Saccharomyces cerevisiae S288C: one gene and its partners. Changing the gene in region 4 together with the main gene of any one other region gives a genetic interaction. Each region holds a gene or a part of one and is shown on either strand. Other genes may lie near its edges.

What was found.
Region 1: mutations in BNI1 (region 4) and NUM1 are lethal when combined (synthetic lethality), as found in Saccharomyces cerevisiae (5 studies listed by BioGRID, with this or other methods).
Region 2: mutations in BNI1 (region 4) and NIP100 are lethal when combined (synthetic lethality), as found in Saccharomyces cerevisiae (7 studies listed by BioGRID, with this or other methods).
Region 3: mutations in BNI1 (region 4) and PAC1 are lethal when combined (synthetic lethality), as found in Saccharomyces cerevisiae (5 studies listed by BioGRID, with this or other methods).

What each region holds. Positions count from the first base shown.
Region 1 is NC_001136.10:753,991-758,678, reverse strand, and holds the start of NUM1 (Num1p), read right to left. Parts: upstream 3,052-4,688; coding exon 1-3,051. Other genes in the region: KGD2 (dihydrolipoyl transsuccinylase), read left to right, coding at 3,613-4,688. UniProt on the Saccharomyces cerevisiae protein: Controls nuclear migration. NUM1 specifically controls the interaction of the bud neck cytoskeleton with the pre-divisional G2 nucleus. Functions in dynein-anchoring.
Region 2 is NC_001148.4:219,616-224,404, forward strand, and holds NIP100 (Nip100p), read right to left. Parts: upstream 3,159-4,789; coding exon 552-3,158; downstream 1-551. Other genes in the region: phosphatidylinositol N-acetylglucosaminyltransferase SPT14, read left to right, coding at 1-473; mitochondrial 54S ribosomal protein uL24m MRPL40, read left to right, coding at 3,528-4,421; COX10 (protoheme IX farnesyltransferase), read right to left, coding at 4,738-4,789. UniProt on the Saccharomyces cerevisiae protein: Motor-binding component of the dynactin complex which assists cytoplasmic dynein by increasing its processivity and by regulation of its cargo binding.
Region 3 is NC_001147.6:824,701-828,369, reverse strand, and holds PAC1 (Pac1p), read right to left. Parts: upstream 1,986-3,669; coding exon 501-1,985; downstream 1-500. Other genes in the region: VPH1 (H(+)-transporting V0 sector ATPase subunit a), read left to right, coding at 1-318; YOR268C (uncharacterized protein), read left to right, coding at 2,438-2,836; putative serine/threonine protein kinase HRK1, read left to right, coding at 3,503-3,669.
Region 4 is NC_001146.8:129,333-137,142, forward strand, and holds BNI1 (formin BNI1), read right to left. Parts: upstream 6,052-7,810; coding exon 190-6,051; downstream 1-189. Other genes in the region: arginine permease ALP1, read right to left, coding at 6,608-7,810. UniProt on the Saccharomyces cerevisiae protein: Required for the assembly of F-actin structures, such as actin cables and stress fibers. Nucleates actin filaments. Binds to the barbed end of the actin filament and acts as a leaky capper, slowing both polymerization and depolymerization.

The DNA of each region.
Region 1 (4,688 bases), on a different chromosome or scaffold from region 4:
GACTAGGTCTTCGTATGCACTATCCGATAGTAAATGGTGATTGGTGGCCTTGGCATGTTCAACTAGGTATTCCAGTGATGGTTGTTCTAGTTTCTTTTCCAATTCAGAATATGCCTCGTTGGATACCACAGTGTGGCCTAGTTTGGCAGACTTCTCCTTCAAGAATTCCATATCAGGATTCTCCTTGCACTTGACTAGGTCTTCGTATGCACTATCCGATAGCAGATGGTGATCGGTAGCCTTGGCATGTTCGACTAGGTATGCTAGTGATGGTTGTTCTAGTTTCTTTTCCAATTCAGAATATGCTTCGTTGGATACCACAGTATGGCCTAGTTTAGCAGACTTCTCCTTCAAGAATTCTACATCAGAATTTTCCTTGCACTTGACTAGGTCTTCGTATGCACTATCCGATAGCAGATGGTGATCGGTAGCCTTGGCATGTTCGACTAGGTATGCTAGTGATGGTTGTTCTAGTTTCTTTTCCAATTCAGAATATGCCTCGTTGGATACCACAGTGTGGCCTAGTTTGGCAGACTTCTCCTTCAAGAATTCCATATCAGGATTCTCCTTGCACTTGACTAGTTCTTCGTATGCACTATCCGATAGTAAATGGTGATCGGTAGCCTTGGCGTGTTCGACTAGGTATGCTAGTGATGGTTGTTCTACTTCCTTCTCCAATTCTGAGTATTTGCGTTGCAATTCAGAATATTCCTCGCTAGATACCACAGTATGGCCTAGTTTAGCAGACTTCTCCTTCAAGAATTCCACATCAGGATTCTCCTTGCACTTGACTAGGTCTTCGTATGCACTATCCGATAGTAAATGGTGATCGGTAGCCTTGGCGTGTTCAACTAAGTATGCTAGAGATGGTTGTTCTACTTCCTTCTCCAATTCTGAGTATTTGCGTTGCAATTCAGAATATGCCTCGTTGGATACCACAGTATGGCCTAGTTTGGCAGACTTCTCCTTCAAGAATTCCATATCAGGATTCTCCTTGCACTTGACTAGGTCTTCGTATGCACTATCCGATAGTAAATGGTGATTGGTCGCCTTGGCATGTTCAACTAGGTATTCCAGTGATGGTTGTTCTAGTTTCTTTTCCAATTCAGAATATGCCTCGTTGGATACCACAGTGTGGCCTAGTTTGGCAGACTTCTCCTTCAAGAATTCCATATCAGGATTCTCCTTGCACTTGACTAGGTCTTCGTATGCACTATCCGATAGTAAATGGTGATTGGTGGCCTTGGCATGTTCAACTAGGTATTCCAGTGATGGGCTCACGTAGTCTTCTTTTTTGAGTAATAAATAATCTGATGCAGAAGCTTTTTCTCTTAGAAAGTCTATCGTTGGGTTCTTTAAACCTTCTAAGGCTTTAGTATCAATCAGCACTTGGTCGTATTCTTTTGCCTTATCTGACAGGTATTGTTTCGAAGGTGTTTCTATCTTATTAACCATTGAAAAATACAGATCATTACTTAGCCATTTACAGCCGTTTCTCTCCTCCAGCCATTTACAAATATTCGATTGTAAGTCGTTCTTTGCTTCCAGGCATTTTTTCATTTGTTCAATTGATGGATTCTTGACACTCTCAAAAAGGTCATTATAATCTTTGGTAGGTATTATCAGGCAATCAATTTTGGATGTTAAAGGCAGTAAAAAATCAATAGTAGGCTCTTTTAACAAGTTAAACGTACTTTGATCGATGGGTATCTTTTTCAAAGCCTGAAGTTTTTCCTTGAGATAGTTATATGATGGATTTGATAGGGATTCGTTTAGGTTCTCAAACTCCTCTAGAGGAAGAACTTTATAGCCAGAAGCTTCTAAATATTTAATATGAGATTCTAACGAAAACTCTTTTTTGCTGTAATTGTCATCATTTGGTAACGCGATCATATTCAGGTTTTCAGCCACCTCTTTGGTCATTAATTCATCGTCTTTTGGTTTGGATGCACTTTCACTTTTTTGTAGTAAGTTTTTATATGAATCATTCGATAACAATATCATATTGTTTTTTTCTGAGTATTTCTTGACAAGATCTTCAGAAATGTCCTCGACAGAGGGGCCTGTTTCAATCATGTGGTCAATTTCGATCACTATATCAAAAATGTCTTCTTCACTAGTGGTCCCCTCAGAATCAGGATCAGATGTTACTGTAGTATCGGAAGTATGCTGTTTTTGATAATACTTCTTTTGTACTTTTCTTTTTAACGAAGAAATAGATGCTTTGGCGTCATCAAGTTGCTTTTGAATTTTTATTCTTTCAGTTCTATTGCTCTGTAAGGAATTAATTTCACTTGTTAGATCAGAAACACTAATAAGTAATCTGTCGTTTTCATTATTTAAGTCTAAAATCCTTTCCTTTAATTCACTAATCTCTTTATCGTAATGAAGTTTTTGAGAGCTAAGATCATTTTCCATGCCATTTTTTGTTAATGTTAAAATTTCCAAATCTGTTTTCAGAAGTTTCAGGCTTTCTTTTTCATCATTCCAAGATTTTTCAGTCTTTTTCTTCAATTCTTTTAATTGCCTACATTCCATGCTCAAGTTTGTTAATTTAGATTCTAAATCCCAGTTTAAATCTTTAGTTGAATCCAACTCTTTCATGAAGGACTTTTTTTGGTTAGTGAGCTCCTCAATCTTGTCACTTAATGACTCTTTAATTTGCTTGAGAGACTTGATTTGCTCATTTTTAGCTTCATTAGAGGATTGCAATTTCCTACACTCAACCAACAAATTCTCGCTTAGTTCCAAAGTAAAGTTCATATCCTTTGATGAATTCGCCGTGAGTACTCCATTGTGGGAACTACTGCCTGCAAATTCCGGAAGCACGTCTTTTGTCTCTCTTTTACTCAAAATACTTGAAATCGAAAACCGCTTTGTTTTATCTCCTTCATCACCACTGCCGCATTCATCAGCCTTTAAGTTAGCCATCCTTGTTACGCCGTTCGTTGAGACGCTTTCCTGGCTTAATGAATTGTCAATGCTATTTGCATACTGCCCTGCTGAGCTGTCTTTATCGTTATTCTTTTTATGCCTGTTGTTGTGGGACATATTCGAACGTCTCGTGGAAAGCCTTGACCGTTGCGTCTTTACTCGTCTCTATTCAACCCTGTGGTCCTATTAGAACCGATCTTTGTTCCATCGTCATTACTACTTCTTGTCTCTTCTCTCTTGGGGAATAATAAACAAAACAATTCCAGCCACCCGCATCTCCGTCAAAGACGATATTAACAACCCTTTTTTTGCAGCCAATCAAAACTAAGGTCCTGCCCGGAGTGAGCCAATAAAGCGGCCACAAATTACGCAGGAATCTATGGTTCCTAAAGCTTATTCTTATTCTACATTAGCACCATTCTACTACAGGGCTCGGATCCACACTTGGTCTATCAGCAAATGCAAATCCTTTTTCCCTCAACTAGGCCTACTTTTCATATATAATCTCTTTTTGAGCTTCAGGGGAGGAAATATCTAACGTAAAAAAAAGAAAAATCCGAAATAAAAAATTAGGCAGCTATCTTTAACGGTATATATCAGTGAATAGATATATTGTTATAAACTTCACTACCACATTTGTTACAACCAAAGACACAACTTCAGATAATTATTTAAACAATGCTTTCCAGAGCGACGCGTACTGCAGCTGCCAAATCCTTAGTAAAATCTAAAGTGGCTAGAAATGTTATGGCTGCTTCTTTCGTCAAGAGACATGCTTCTACAAGTTTGTTCAAACAAGCTAACAAGGTCGAATCCTTAGGTTCAATATATTTATCCGGCAAGAAAATTTCAGTTGCGGCGAATCCGTTCTCCATAACTAGCAATCGTTTTAAATCTACCTCTATTGAAGTTCCTCCGATGGCAGAGTCCCTGACTGAAGGCTCTTTAAAGGAATATACTAAAAACGTTGGTGATTTTATTAAGGAGGACGAGCTGTTGGCCACTATTGAGACCGATAAAATTGATATTGAGGTCAATTCGCCAGTATCAGGTACTGTTACGAAGCTAAATTTCAAACCAGAGGACACTGTCACTGTTGGTGAGGAGTTAGCTCAGGTCGAGCCTGGTGAAGCACCTGCTGAGGGTTCTGGAGAATCTAAGCCAGAGCCTACCGAACAAGCGGAGCCATCGCAAGGTGTCGCCGCAAGGGAAAACTCAAGTGAGGAAACGGCTTCAAAGAAAGAAGCTGCTCCAAAGAAAGAAGCCGCTCCAAAGAAAGAAGTTACAGAACCAAAAAAGGCTGATCAACCAAAGAAGACCGTCTCTAAGGCGCAGGAACCCCCAGTAGCCTCTAACTCTTTCACACCATTTCCACGTACAGAAACCAGGGTCAAAATGAACCGTATGAGATTGAGGATTGCCGAAAGATTAAAAGAGTCTCAAAACACTGCTGCTTCCTTAACCACATTCAACGAAGTTGACATGTCAGCTTTGATGGAAATGAGGAAACTGTATAAAGATGAGATTATTAAGAAGACCGGTACTAAATTCGGATTCATGGGTCTTTTCTCCAAAGCATGTACCTTGGCCGCCAAGGATATTCCAGCCGTCAATGGTGCCATTGAAGGTGACCAGATTGTTTATCGTGATTACACAGATATTTCTGTTGCTGTGGCCACTCCAAAGGGTTTGGTTACCCCCGTCGTTCGTAATGCAGAGTCATTGAGTGTTTTAGATATTGAGAACGAAATTGT
Region 2 (4,789 bases), on a different chromosome or scaffold from region 4:
TTGAGGCCGCATCTTGTAATTTGCTAATTGTAACGACACAAGTCGGAGGAATTCCCGAAGTGTTACCAAATGAGATGACTGTTTATGCAGAACAGACATCCGTTTCTGACCTTGTTCAAGCAACAAATAAAGCTATCAATATCATAAGAAGTAAAGCTTTGGACACTTCCTCTTTTCATGATAGCGTGTCTAAAATGTACGACTGGATGGACGTAGCCAAAAGGACAGTAGAGATATATACTAATATATCTTCTACTTCTTCCGCTGATGATAAAGATTGGATGAAAATGGTAGCAAATCTTTACAAAAGAGATGGAATCTGGGCTAAACATCTTTATCTGTTATGTGGAATTGTAGAGTACATGCTTTTTTTCCTCTTAGAGTGGCTATACCCCAGGGATGAAATCGATCTAGCTCCAAAATGGCCCAAGAAAACAGTGTCTAACGAGACGAAGGAAGCAAGAGAAACTTAAACTTTACACAAAACAAAGGAATGTTGTATCCATTTATTTACTGTATTTGAATGTTATAGACCTGCTAGAATCACTCAGTCATTTGTAATATGTAACAACATTTTGAGATTTGAGTCGTATATTTTTCCTCTTGCGCTTTAAATACGAAATGTAAGAATGATCTCTTTCATGCCAGAGTTCATCTTCTGCCAAAGGTTGATCAAGCTTTAAATCTAAAATCCGTGAGGTACTCACGAAGTTGAACATTTCTATCCCCAAGGTGTCCAAACTGTGGTTGATATGTTCTTTGAATGGTTGCTTATTTTCCACAGCTGGAAGCTCGTCTAACCAGCTGAAATCGATGCTCACTCGTTTCTGCTCTTTTATTTGTCGTCTTATGGTTTCTCTCAATTCCATGATTTCCGAAACTAAATTTACTCTATCTACTTTCTCTCTGTCTAAATAAATTTTGTTCAACGTATTATTATCCTTTATTTGATATAGTTTGAGCTCCATATTCTTCAAACGGTTTACTAGGTTGAAATTTTCTTCTTTCAGCTTGTTAAGAATTTCTGTTTTGCCACAATTTTCCTCATTTTTGTTATTTAACTCTACTTTGAGTGTTTTGATATTCTCTTCAAGGGTTTTCCTCTCTAAATCCCTCCCAATAATAATTTTAATTTTTGTTTCCAATTCAGTTAGCATATTTTCCTTTTGGACCAGTACTTCTTTGAGTCGAATGTTCTCTTCATTCAAGCGATCGCTTAATAACGAGTTTGAAAAATTGCCCTCCTTAATATTACATTGACTTTCTGAATCACTTGTTTGTTGACTGGGTTGCTCAGGAAATATAGTTATGTTTTCTAAGAGACTTTCTATTCCTTGAAAAAATACCTCTAGTTTTTTCAAAGAAGAAATACGTTTGTAATCTTGTCGCAAAAACAGTGCATCTGAAAAAAGTATCGTTAAGATAGAGGACAGGGTTATATCACAGGAAGGATATAAAAATAACCTATTGTCTTGTTTCGAAATTTCTTCCTTTCCGATAAGTTTATCTATTCTGGCAATAAGTGAAAGTGATCTCTCGTAAAGGGAACCAATAAGACATAGGGTATCATTGTCATTGAAATTGCTGTTCGTTCTAAGAAAAGCCAACAGCTTCGGAACAGTTGTTTCCAATATCGGATGAAGTATTTTTAGTATCAAGGTCACATCCTTATCTAGAAACTTATTATCTTCTAAAAACTGACAAATGGAAAAGGCGGTTTCCTGTTTAGAAGAAAACTTCCTTTGCAAAAACTCGCTTAGCCACATCGAAATCGGAGCAATATTTACTTTGAAACATTGTAATGTCGTTTCCAGGTGATCGGGAGTATTCTTTATGGTGTAAATATGAAGCGCATAACTGATAGAGCTCAACACTTTTAGAATTATATGGATTTCAATATTCTCCAACTTTCCAAAATTTTCACTTTCGATTACTTCGGCTAAATATTGCAATTGAGAGGAAAGAGCCGCCAAATGTGGTTGTGCAAATGGCTCATATATTTGGTAAAATTTCTTTAGCAATTTATTTTGATATAATTCCTCCTGTAAAGTGTTCACTTTTAGTTCAAGACTTTGAAATTTGTGAGATGTTTTGGCTTCAATAGATTCCAATGTTGCTTTTAATCTTGAATTTTCTTCGATATATGTGCCTGCTATCTCCTTTTCATTTTCCAATGCAGATTGCAAATTACTTAATTGCAGTCTCAGTTCTTGCTCGAGTTGCTCATAGGTAATTCTTAAATTTTCATCCAATTTTTCTTTTGCCTGTAGTTCCTCCAACTCATTGTTTAAAGCCTTTATATTACTTGTGAGTAGGATATTATCATTAGTCAATTTATCAACAATATTAGATGATTTACTTTGAGCTTCAATCTGCAAGGCAAGGTCGCCGATTGTATTATTAGTCTGTTGCAATTGCAGACCTAAATCCGATATTTTTTTAGATAATACTGCATTTTCTTCTAATAACTGAGTATTCTCCTCGAGCAGGTCCTCTTGCACCTTCATAGCTTTATCATATGACAACTTTGTTTGGTCGAGTAGTCCCTGAAGAAGATGGCTCCTTTCTAACAGTGTGCCTTTGTCGAGATCCGGTGCCATTACACTATCTGAAGCATCTAATAGGTGATTGAAATTATCCAAATGAGTTTTCATATTACCATTTTCCACTTTCAGTTCTTTGACTAGTTTATCCAATCTTGAGATTTTAGACAATAGAACAGTTTCATTAGTACTCAGCTTTTCAACGGAAGTTTTCAGCTCATGATTTTCTATTTTAATTTTATTTAATTTGGACGCCAATGATTCACATTTTACTTGTAGATTCTTAATTGTTTCTTGCGCTGCATTACCATTTAGCAAACTATGCTCATCGTCATCTGGTTTATAAAACTGCAACGTATCTTTCTTGCAGAAAAGACCATAATAACCACCATTTGAATTAGCTTTCTTCAGGTCGATATCAAAGTAACGAATACCGTTAGCGCTTCCATCATTCTTTCCTAACGGTTTATCTAGTTCAATGCCGTACCATATGCCTTTTGCAAATTGAGTTTCCCCAATGAATTTCACCCGCCCCTTCATCTCGTTGACTAGAACTGTGTCCTGTAAGCTTATCTTCTGCATATTTGTGTCAACTTGAACACCTGCATTGCGCATTTGTCCAAGGCTGTACTGCGAGGTTGATGGAGATCGAATCTAGAATAGTATTATGTACTTTGCAAAAGTAAAGTACAACATAAAGTCTAGCAGCATATGAGTAACTCTCTACAGTTACGCCAACAATCTCAGTGTGGAGGTTAGAGTAAAAAGAAAGCACCTTACAACTGTACGTTTACATAAGTGACTTTTCAACATATATGCATTTTTTGTTAAGCATTGTAAAATACCCGGTTGAAAAGCGACATGAAAAATAACGACATGTTAGATTCAAAAGTACCTACTGCTCTTTAACAGCTACTTAAGGATTACCTGATAAGAGTAATCCACCGTAAAGAACATTATCAGCAACAAAATTTGTAATCCATCATGTCTGGAAGCTATCAACATTTATCAAACGTTGGATCGCGTGTTATGAAAAGATTGGGGAATCGACCCAAAAACTTTCTTCCTCATAGTGAAAAGTTCATTAAAAAATCTACGCCTGAGTTCATGAAGTCAGATTTAAAGGAAGTAGATGAGAAAACTAGTTTCAAGAGTGAAAAAGAATGGAAGTTTATACCTGGCGACAGAGTAGTAGTAATGAGCGGGGCTTCCAAAGGAAATATAGCTGTAATTAAATCTTTCGATAAAAGAACAAATTCATTCATATTAGATGAGAATGGGCCCACAAAGACTGTTCCAGTTCCTAAACAATTCTGGCTTGAAGGCCAAACATCTCACATGATAACAATTCCAGTTTCAATTTTGGGAAAGGATTTAAGGCTAGTTGCTGATATTGACGATGAAAAGACCCCAGGAAAGACAAGAACGGTGGCAGTAAGGGATGTTTCCTTCAATGGTTCCTACTATGATGCAGACTACAAAAAGGTAATGCCATATAGATGCGTAAAGGGTCAACCAGACTTGATCATTCCATGGCCTAAACCAGACCCAATTGATGTGCAAACGAACTTGGCTACCGATCCTGTAATTGCTAGAGAACAAACATTTTGGGTCGATTCCGTAGTGAGAAACCCTATTCCAAAAAAGGCAATACCAAGTATTCGCAATCCTCATTCTAAGTACAAAAGGGGTACCTTGACAGCGAAAGATATAGCTAAGCTAGTAGCACCTGAGATGCCCCTAACAGAGGTAAGAAAAAGCCATTTGGCAGAAAAAAAGGAGTTGGCTGAGAGAGAAGTACCAAAACTAACTGAAGAGGACATGGAAGCTATTGGGGCGAGGGTTTTTGAATTTTTGGAAAAACAAAAAAGAGAATAAATGTACCAAGTGTATGCACTCTATTTTTATATTTGATTCTCTAGTGTGATTTTTTTAATCAGTATATCCCCTTCACTATTCACGTAGTAAATAAGTTATATTCGACCTGTATATATGAAAGCATAAAGTAAAGTTCAAAGAATATTCAGATATTGATGTGGGCAAACGTGATGACTTCAAATTACAAAATCTTTTCTTTAAAAATAAATTATGTGCGTATGTACATTATTTTTAACCAATAAAAGGGTTTAAATATTTATTTACAAGATTAATGACTGCCCTTTAAGCGTTGTCTCTTTATCTCATTGTACTAATGCTAAAATCGTTCCTGTGGTCGCTTTGCTTCACCAGGATATATCCAATCCCAG
Region 3 (3,669 bases), on a different chromosome or scaffold from region 4:
TTATGGGCCTTATCATTGGCACATGCTCAATTGTCTAGTGTTTTATGGACAATGACAATTCAAATTGCCTTTGGATTTAGAGGATTTGTGGGTGTGTTTATGACGGTTGCACTTTTTGCCATGTGGTTCGCACTAACATGTGCAGTTCTTGTTTTGATGGAAGGTACATCTGCCATGCTTCATTCCTTACGTTTGCACTGGGTTGAATCTATGTCCAAGTTTTTCGTGGGTGAAGGTTTACCATACGAACCATTCGCATTTGAGTATAAAGACATGGAAGTCGCTGTTGCTAGTGCAAGCTCTTCCGCTTCAAGCTAAATTTTGAGGACTTTTAAAAAAAGCGAAACATTTAAGTACTTCATTAAATAATAAATGATGCTACTATATAGTGAGTAAACCTTATTATATACTATCAATGCTAATTCAATAAAGTATTTAAAGTATCAACCAATGCTTAAAAAGAGTCAAAAAAAAGGGAAAAAGAAATAGGAAAGCCAAACTTATCTCATGAAAACGTTAGACTTGCAATCCAATCCACCAGTGACCATCATTTGCCTTGGGGTAACGTTAGAATCGAAATCCACATCCAGGTCTAAACAGTTGACAAATCCTGTATGCAACTTTTCCCAAACGTGTAAGCACTGCCCCGTGTTCAGATCCCAACATCTGACAGATTTATCATCAGCACAAGAAAACAAGTATTGGCCTCGAATACTAATATCTCTAACCCACGAAAGATGCCCCTTCAACGTAAGAACACATCTGAAATTTGAATCTGTAGGATTCGGTATGGGTGCTCTATGGGCCATTAACGTAGGTAGAGGTATCTCCCAGATTTTTATCGTTCTATCTCTTGACGCTGAGACACAATATTGCATCCCCCAATTCTTATATCGATCCGTTGATGGTGTTCTAAACCTTATCTCCGGAGAGTCTTCGATGAAATGAATAAATTTAACTTTCTCTATGGGAAATTCATGACCCGTGCCAACACTAAGACCATTACCTGATGGCCAATGTGTTAACCTTAATGTAGTGTCATGTGAACCAGAGATGATGTAATCGCCTAGAACGTCTATGGAACGAACCCATTGGGAATGAGGCTGAAATGTTTTCAACGACCAACCATTGTGGAAGTCCCAAATTTTAACAGTTTGATCTCTGGAACAGGACGCTATATGGACATCATTATTTTTCTGCCAGATTTTTACCGCAGAGACAATATGCTCATGGCCCAATAAAGACCTAATTTGTTGGAACTTGCATTCCTCGGAGACCCACTTGAAAACATGAATCTGCAAATCTTTAGACGCGGTAACGATCACCAAATAGTTCTTCTTGCTGGAGTTCGTATAATTGGTAAATAAAACATCCATGGAGGTAATTGCCTTGGTATGACTTTGCAAGGATGCCAGAGGGATGGTGTAGTTAAATAAATCAAATGCGTATAATTTGCCATGATCTGTGGCCACAAACACTATAGGCAAATTGGGATGTAGTTTGACGGAAGTGACAGATGATTCAACATTAATTAAACAGCTTGGTAGATTTCTCGGTATCCATTTCAAAACATTATGTGCGCTGGTGCCGTTACTGGTGGTAGGTTTGAATTGTGCTAGTTCTGACACTTGAGTGTTCAAATCTTTAATCTGAGATACAAGGGTCTCTGTATTCTGCTCCAATTCAATGATTTTTTTTTGTAGTCTAACAATTGAGTTCCACTTCTTCGGTAGCAGTAATTCATCAATGTCTACCATACTTTCGTTACTGGTGTCATTGTTACTGATGAATTCTTGCCGGTCCACTGATTCTTGCAACAGAAAACCTGATAGAGTTACAATTGCATGTCGAACACTTTCGTAATCTTGAGCATGCTCATGTCGTACAGTTTGTTTGTAATTCCAATTCAAATATCGGAGGACACTTTTATCGAGTTCATTTTTCTGTGTATCTGTTAAAGGAAGCTGTTGCTGCCAGTTAGTCATTTCTATTTTTTTCTACACTTACGCACGCACAGGTGTATACCAACAACCGGACGACGAACCTAGCTGCTTTATCAATGGCTATCTGGGCGACGATGGCCCAATACTAAGATTACCTATTACGTTTACACTCGCCAAAAATAAGAAACAAGTGCAATATGCACGACTTGCAAGCTGAAAATATTTCAAAACACCCACATCCCACAGCACAAAACCAGTGCAAATTCCATAAAGGGAAGTGAATTAAATTCAATGGTAGATGAAAGCACTTTTTCAGGAACCGTTTTAAGATCTAATTGTAGTTTACCAAGATATACTAAAACGTCGTTACTCGTTTTATTTACCTACCATTAGCTAACCGTTGCCATGGCTACCGTCCGGGTCGCCAGCGGCTGCTACTGCAAAAGTTGACAACGAAAAAGAGAAAAAAAAAATTCTCGGCACGCAAGACCTGAATGGTTTTTGTTTTCCCCTTCCCATTTTTTTCTTATGGTTTTTCCAGTTTTCTAGAAGCCGGAAAAAAGGCAAGCTACAAAATGTACTACGCGGAGCCAGAATTAAAAACCACGCGGACGGGACGGGCCGTGGCTTGTGACGCCGGATCCCCGCGTATAATCCGTGTCACGCTAAAGGACAAAATCGGTTTATCCGAGCGGTTTACGGGAAGGGTCTTTTGCTATCTCGCAGTAGCGTGTGCCTGGTTATCCCAATACTACCACCACACCTGTGCTTTTTTTATCTTGTACGTGCATGTATGCGTATGTTTTCTTTTTTTCCGTTGGTGCTTATTCGCTACCGTCTCGTTGATCCATGAATCACAAACACAAGCCGGTTCTGCTTACTATACAAAATAGTCTTGTGTCTTGATTCATATATCCGTCAATAACGTAGCCTTTCTTTATTTTCCTTTCGCTCACCATACTCTTGCATTAGTGTATTTTGTCTTTTATATCGCCAATAAGTGCCCAACTCTTCTACCTGACCCCTACGTCGTCGCCGCCCCTTTTCTTTTTCTTCGCCTAGTTCTATTTGGCTATATATTTCAGAGTGACAAATCTTTAAGAGAGACAAACTGAGAATTAGCATATAGAATCATTCATACAACTGTTTACAAACAAGTAAGCCCAAGACAGTTCCCAACCGCTTAAAGAAGTTTTTCCTAGAGGGAGCAAAGTTCGTTTACATTTCACACACACAGTTTTTTTTCACTTTTTTGGGCCTCTTCCTTTTCCCGTTTTTTTCAAAAAGCTTAGAAATCTTCTTCACCTCCTATTTTTCTAGAATCGTGAAGAATTTCCAGATTTAACAGTTTTCCACTTTTTCAATAAGGAAATAGTAGGAATAATAAAAAAAGGATAGTAGTAACGATATACGTCGACTTTCCAGACTGGTCTCGAGCCGGAATTAAATACAATAGCAGCGTTTGACTACCACATTGTAGCTCCGCTAGAATTGATCGAAAACAAAAATAATAACACTAATAATTATAATAATACGGTAGAACTATTTCTCGTATAAAGATGCCTAATCTATTGTCGAGAAACCCATTCCATGGTCATCATAATGACCATCATCATGACCGTGAAAATTCGTCTAATAACCCGCCACAGTTGATCAGAAGTTCTAAATCTTTCTTAAACTTCATTGGTAGAAAACAAAGTAATGACTCACTAAGAAGCGAGAAATC
Region 4 (7,810 bases):
TATTTCAAAAATGCAATAGTAGAGATCATTTGAGTAAAGATGAATGTAAAGTGTATCATAAGTGATCTATAAACATTAAAATTATATATATATATGTGATTTAATGATTCGTGACTATTTCTTTGTACTAGTGCTTGTTTGGATGTTTGTTTTGGTATTACTGTTGTCATAATTTTTTGGTTTAATATTTTATTTGAAACTTAGCCTGTTACCTGTGCTAGCCTCACCTATGGATCTTTCCTTGCGGGCCCTCAATTTTTCTAGATGTTCATCGAGTATGGAATTTTGCTTTACTGGTGTGTCAGAGCCTCTTAGCTCCTTTAATAACATTCTAGCTCTGTCACTAATTTCCTCTTGATCTTCCAGCGCAGATGTCTTGGATGGCGATGGTAAATCTTCAGAGGTATTCATAACACCCCTTGTGGCAAGCGGAGTGGGTGATTCAGCGTGAATCACTGTATCGGCAGTAGGGTCCATAGCTTCTGGAGAATAAAGAATAGACCCTTCTTCAGTATCCAAATCGTTGAGTAATTGTGGAGCGTTGTCTTTTTCAGAAAGATATTTTTTCCTCACTAGGGCTCTCTTTCTGGCGGAAGATGGGTCACTTTTAGCAGGACCTGCATTTTTCAACTGTTCTAATAGTTTATCCATAACAGCGCGCCTATCTTCTGCTTCATCCTCTTCATTTCCTTCAGATGAAGGCGAATTGCTGTTCTCTTTTTGTTTTTCCTTTTCTTGTGCCCTTTTTTGCTGTTCTTCCACTATTTTCTTATGCTTTATATAAAGTCTTTCTTCTTCTTCCGCGGCTAGATTTTGCGCTTGAGCTTTTTTGTATTCATTTATAAAATCTGCAAATTTCTTAAAGAATGAGATTTTTGCAAACTTATCACCAGAATCTTCACCGTACGTATGCATCAGACTTTCAAATTCCATGATAGTCAGCTTAACTTCGTCTTCTAACAAGTCCCCCTTTTTTCTGGCTTCCGGTAACACGGGCAATGTTTTTATCAAAACTTTATCTAATGGATGAAACTTTGAGGAATCGCTTAAATTACCAATTTCAACTGAACGCTCTACGTTTACAATCGATTGGCTAAAGTCCTTACAGTCGTTAACTAACTGCTCAATGGAAACTTTCACGACATCCAATACAGGTTCTAATTCACTTAGAAAGTCATTGAAGCTTGGATAATTTAACCTGACAATTTTTTCGACGTAATTTAGAAAGGTCATGCTATTGGTAGTATCCTTGATAAACGTCAACCTCTGCAAGGTTGAAAGTTTGAAACCTTGTGCCTGCTTAGAAGTGTCGTTCATGAAATTACCAACTGCTAAGATAACATTAAAGACATTGCGCAAGTTATCTGATTCTTGAAGCGCGCTAACAGCTTTGTCGACTTTTCTTAACTTTGCCAATAACTCATTATATTCTCTTTCATACGAAGTAACCACTGTGAGAGCTCTCATACGTGAACCCCAGTATGATTCTAGATTAACCATCAATTGCAAATAAATTTGGTCAGCCCTCTGTAAATCGTTTGGATCTTTTTCAGGGGGCTTGGCATCTTCGAGATTCCTCACGCCCTCCCAGTCTGTCGAATACGGGGCGTAATTCCTAGCTAAATTAACAGAAACTTCAATTATTTCAGATTTTGACAAAAACTCAACAACACTCGGTGTTTGCAAAAAATCCCTATCGCAGTTTAGAATCTTTTTCACCAGATCGGCAACCGAAAGTGATGAATACATATGCAAATTGATACCAAACTGTTGAGAAATATCCCTGGATAAAAATGTAATTTTCTGCAGATCTTCCTTGCGCTTGCTTGCTAATGATTTAATTTCCCTAGCGGCAAAGGCCTTTTCTAAATCAGCAAGAACACCCTTTTCGTATAAGTCATCTGCGAACTTCTCAGCTTTACCTGTACCCCAAATAGAATTATCAGTACAATCTAATTTTTCCCAATGCAGTTGCTTTAATTTCTTGTGTGGACGAGGATACTTTTCAAATAATGAGGGCGATTGAGGAAGTAATGGTGATGTTACAGCTGATTTGATTTGCGATGCCGGCATCATAGGTGGAGCTGGCGGAATGACGCCATCAGTAGATGAAGATAATACAGATGGTAGCGGCGGCGGTGGTGGTGTTTCTCCCTTGGGTTTGCCGAACAATGCCATGGGTGGAGGAGGAGGTGGTGGTGGTGGAGGGGGAGGAGCAGGAGAATCCCCAGTAGTTTCTTGCTTGACAGTGTCGTCTTCCGACTTTTTCTCTTTCTCCAACGATTCACCGAACAATTTGGCGGGAACTGGAGGAGGAGGAGGAGGAGGCGGTGGCGGCTGTGAGGAGAGTACAGATGATTGAGTAGAGAGATCTTCTGCGCCATCTGTATTATTCAGTTTACTCACAGCGCTGAAATCCGCTGTTTTATCTTCTTCATGATTTACCACACGCCCTTGCTTTCCGTTTTCCACATGTTGTCTCATGTCTTTCTCAGCTTTGTCAAAGGCGGAAGCTGCACTTGCCGTGCTGTTTTCCGGTAAAGATTTTTTATCTAGACCTTCATCTTCATTTTGTTCATATGGTTCAACTTTATTTACCTTCTGTGTTAACTCCTCTAAATATGGAGCAGAAGACACGGTGGATTTTCTGAGTCTGTTCATAAAGGTCTTTTCAACTTTACTATGTAGAGGTCCAATACCCGAACCGTTATTGTTCTCTCCAAAAGCAGCCGATGCAGTAACATTTTGACCAGTACCATATTTTTGAGATAAGGCATCGAGAAAAGACCCAGGACCTGATCCTGAAGATAGCTCTGAGTGTTCGCTCCTTAGTTCTTGAGTTGGAGATGCGTCTTGGTATATTTCCTCACTTTCATCATCAGAACTTGAAGAGGAAAGATCGCTTTCCCCATCTTCTTCTACTTGTATTTCGTGTTCGGTTTGAGTCTGAATATCTAACAACTGGTCCGTTATTCTATTAATCTCGTCTAACTTTTTCTGATATGTCTTAGGGTCAAGACTGGCATAGTTAGCGTCTTCTTCCGTTTCCACGTCCCCAGTATTTTTCTTTGGACTGTCCATAATCTCGTCGACATTAAAGTCAATACCAAATCCTTTGTATTTTGTTTCTAGTTCTTTCAGTCTCTTTAAAGCCAGAGATTTCTTTTCATTAAATAGCTCATTAACACGTTCTTCGACGTTAAATTTGGAAATATCATTACTTTCCATTTGGATTTCAGCCAAAGCCCGCCTTAGGTCATTTAGTTTATTTACGTCCGCCTCTTGAGGCTTGACTAAAGGTTTCCTATCCTTATTTTTCATCTTCTTCACTTTGGGCTTCTTAATATGTATTGGAGGTTCAAGACGATCTTTCTCAAATTCAGCAAAATTTGTCATCTCTAGTTGCCTGGCTTCATTTTCAATATTTTCCATTTGCATTCTTAACATTTTTAATCTCTTATTAGGTTGAAGTGTCATGCCGAATTTTTTTGAATCATCCTTGTAATCCTTTTTTGCTCTTGATAATCCGTCCTGTAACACCTTTTGGATATTCGCTTTCTCTGAAGAATTTAGGCTCGAGTTCATACCTCTGGTGCCTTCATTCTTATTGAAGCTTTCTTCAGGCCTCGAATTCAATATAGTCAACATTTTTCTCAATTCTACCTCTTGCTGATGCTTTTCCAAAAGATGCTTCTTTTTCAACTCTTCTAACTCAGCTTCCAGCTGCTGCATAACTCTCTGATTCTTAGCTAAAATACGATCTCTCTCATGCAACTCATCTTCTAACTGTCCAACGAGTCCGTGCTCCGCCTTGCTTAACTTTTCACTTAAAGAATCCCTTTCTGCCTGAATTTCTTCCAATTTCTTCGTTAGAGCTCTACTTTCTAATATAGCTCGACGTGCAACTTCATCAGTCTGCATGGCATCGTAAAGCCGCTGGATAGCCATATTCATATTAGTTTCTTCATCAGAAGTTGAGGCAACACTAACATTAGTCACCAAAGAATCCATAAGTTTCAATTGCTTAGTAAGTTTAGAGGAATTTTGGTTTTCTTCTATTAACTTTGAACTAGAAAGGAAAAGATGTTGAACTAAAGATACTAAAAGCTTTTCATTCTCGGTACCTTTACATATATCCCAAAGGTTTTTTAATAATGATAGTGGATCGTGTAAATCTACATTAAAAGCCTTATTGTTGGCCTCTAATTTAACGTTAAAATCGTCAAGTTTATTATTGTCATATAACTCAATTTGGTCAATTACCTTGTCGTAATCTAGCAGTTTTATTTTGTTCATAATTCGTAAAATTCCACAATTTTCTAGTTTCGTCCTTAATAGCATTCTTTGATTTATGTTATCAGAGCAAGAGCATAAATGATTGATAAAAACCATTGTCCATTGGCAGTATTCTAGAATCGCATTTTCACCCCCACCATTTTTAAATTCATCCGACGCGCCTACTAAGGAACCCATTTTTCCTCTTCCATCTAAAGTTTGTTCAACGGCAAATAACCAGGCTTGAATAATTTTCAAATGACTTTCCAAGGTTAAATGAGAGAAATACTGGGGCATTTTTTTGAAGTTTTGAATCATATGAAGATTTTGCCCTATCCTAAACTTTTTATCTAGTGAGGTAAGAACTGCTTCGAATCTGCTTTTATTTTTTTTTTCTAGCATACAAACAAAAATTTCAGTGGCCATTTTCCTTGTGGCCAGTTTCGTAGAGAATAAACCTTCTGCAACAGTATCAGTCATTAACCTATGTGTACTGAACTCATACAAACCTTGTGAGAGCATTGATAAGACTCTGAAGCATTTAAAAAATGAATTTTCTTTCTCTAATAATTCTTTAGTCAAGTTTTCTCGGGGTGCAGTCTTATAAATAGAGTTCATTAGTACATTAGCCATAGCAATGTGACCCTGATGGTCTATAAAAGCGTCTACCCAGTCTAACTGTTCAGTTCTTAAAGTTACCCATAAATCTTTCATCTCATCGCTAGTAAGTTTGTCTGCCAGGATTCGTTGCACATAATGTATCGGTGGTCTGTTTGTTCTGTCTCCTGGAAGAGTAGATGCACTCGTATTGTTCTCAGCCCCACCTCTATAAATATTGTTTAGAGATGGCTGCTTTTTCAAACTCCCGCTCACTAATTTTTTCCCCTTCGAGGTTGACGTACCTACCGATGAAAGAGTAGTAGAATGATTTAAACTGTTGCTGTATACAGTTGAGGTGGGAGAAGAGGCGCTTGTCATCAAAACAGATTTGGGAGACGAAAGAGATGAATTAGCCGTAAGGATAGGATGATGGTCCGACGCCATCGAAGTTCTGGAGGCAGTGGAAGAAGATGTAGTGTTTGCTCGCATTTTTTTTAGCTCATTTTGTAAATCCTGCTTAACAATCAGCCATTTCTTCTCAATGCTGTAGCCCATCAGAGCTTCTTGTTTGTCCTCTGATAAAGACTGAAAAATATTTCTTTTATACATAATATCTTCAAACAAAACTTCCACCTCGTATGGGTCCGACGGCATTTCTAAATAAATTTTACCATCGGGTGTAGTGAATTTGCTCAAGTTAGTTAGCGAACCTTGAGAGAGAAGACTTGATGCGGAGTGACTTTGCCCGGTATGCTGCCTTGTTAGCTTATTGGACGCCTGTGAAGAATTCCTCTTGGAATACGAATATTTCGATTGCATTGAATGCGACCTTGCGTGCTGTGAGGATACGGGAACATCTCCACTTAATTTACCATTCATATATTGAGACAAGTTTTGTGTGTTTAATGTCGATTTTTTATTCAACGGCCTCGCCTCAGTAGATGTAGACCTAGAAGGTGCATTCAGTTTTCTAAAAGATGACGAAGATGCAGGTGAAGTGGACACTTCGTTTCCCACTGGAGAGTGCTGTTGTTGGGATGCATAGGTCGGAGAACCCGTATTGCTATTCGTTGCATTTGAGTTAGCCAAACGCTTCAAATTTTGGAATATACCAGAACTCGAATTCGAATGACTTTCCTTTGAGTTCGAATGTTTGGAGCCTGAATTCTTCAACATTTCCTTTCCTTCTCTTCCTTTCTTGCTTCTCGTTTGTTGAAAAGGTTCAGGTGCCTTCTTTATGTGGCGTGTATTTAGAATTTAACTAGGCTTGAGTTAAAATGTTTCTCCTCAATACAGAAGATAGATACAAATGGCAAAAAAAAAAGTAAAAAATGGCCCAACTGTATGAGACGTATAAAAAACGTGAAGGGTGAAGAAAAGAATGCCACTGTCCAATTTTATGCTTAATACGAAAATAATTAACACACAGCCGTCAGTGTCCTCTTATCTGTAGGAAGGGTCCGTGCTATTGTTCTTAAAAGGGATTCTAGTTTTCCACATCTGTTTTTTCTTTCTTTCCCTCTTCCACGTCAAAAACTTCCTCTAACCGATGTCGGGTAAGCCATGGAAATTACGGGCGATGACTTTCGGCGGCTAACAACGAAACAACTAGGGAGTAATCATATAATCACAGGAAAAGAGTTGAGCAAGGATTTGGCAAATATACATATACATACATACATACATACATACATATATATGTGTGTGTGTGGTATGGAGTATTATTCTAAAATTATGAAAGGACATCCCAAACTCGTTGCCACCTTGTTTTACATTCTGGCTCTATCCATACCAACTCCTCTATTTGCCGGCGGTCAGAATCGATATCGATATCCTGCAGCTTCCAGAGTAAGCGGCACTTAAACCAAACTTGGAATGATAACCATATGGCCAAAAATAGGAATATTGATATATATGCAGCGACAAAGTCTATAGGCTGAAAAGTAGGTGCGAAAGCGGTGAAGCCCTGGATCAGAACAATTAGAGCGATGAAAAAAGATGCATAATATGCCAAAAAAGGCATCATTTGAGCTTTATAAGGTAAGTCATCCCTCGATATACCACGTTTCCTTATGGCTTGCATGAAACGGATATGAGAAAATGAAATCAAAAGCCAGGCAAAGAAACCGGCCACACCAGTTATGTTCAATAACCAGTTAAAGGCCTTGCCGCTGCCTGCAGAAACCTCTAAGAAAGCCAAAAATCCGAACACGGATGTAGATAGAACAGAAAAGTATGGAACACCACCTCTGGTCACGTTAGACAAGAACCTTGGCGCCAAGCTATTTTTAGACAGACTATACAGTACTCTTGAGCCAATGTACACATTAGAGTTACCTGCGGAAAGAATGGTGATTAGCACGACCGCGTTAAATATATCTGGGAGAACTTTTGTGCCTGAATTCTCAATGCTTATCATAAAGGGCGATGAAGAGACAAATATACCGTCACTATCCAACTTTGGGTCATTATATGGGACCAAAAGGCCAATGAAAAATAGTGAAAGAATGTAAAAGACTAGAATCCTCACTACAACTTTCTTTATTGCCCTCGGGAGAGCTTTTCTTGGGTTAGCCGCTTCACCAGCGGTTATCCCAACCAGTTCAGTACCTTGGTACGTAAATGCAGCATTAATCAAAGAGGAAACCCATCCGAGAAAACGGCCCTCATTTTTATCACTGGAGATAATGCCAGGCCCCCAGGCTCCTGGATTTCTCCAGTACCTGAAACCGATGGGTCCATCAGATTGTCCCGCACCACACACAACACAGAATGAGAAAATGATAAAACCGAGCAACGCGATGACCTTTATGGAGGCAATACAAAACTCAAATTCTCCGTAATACTTTACGGGAAACATGTTCATTGAAGTTAACAGGCACCAAAAGATCACGATCCAAGCCGCTAGAGGCACTGCTTCTGTCCAGTACTGAAT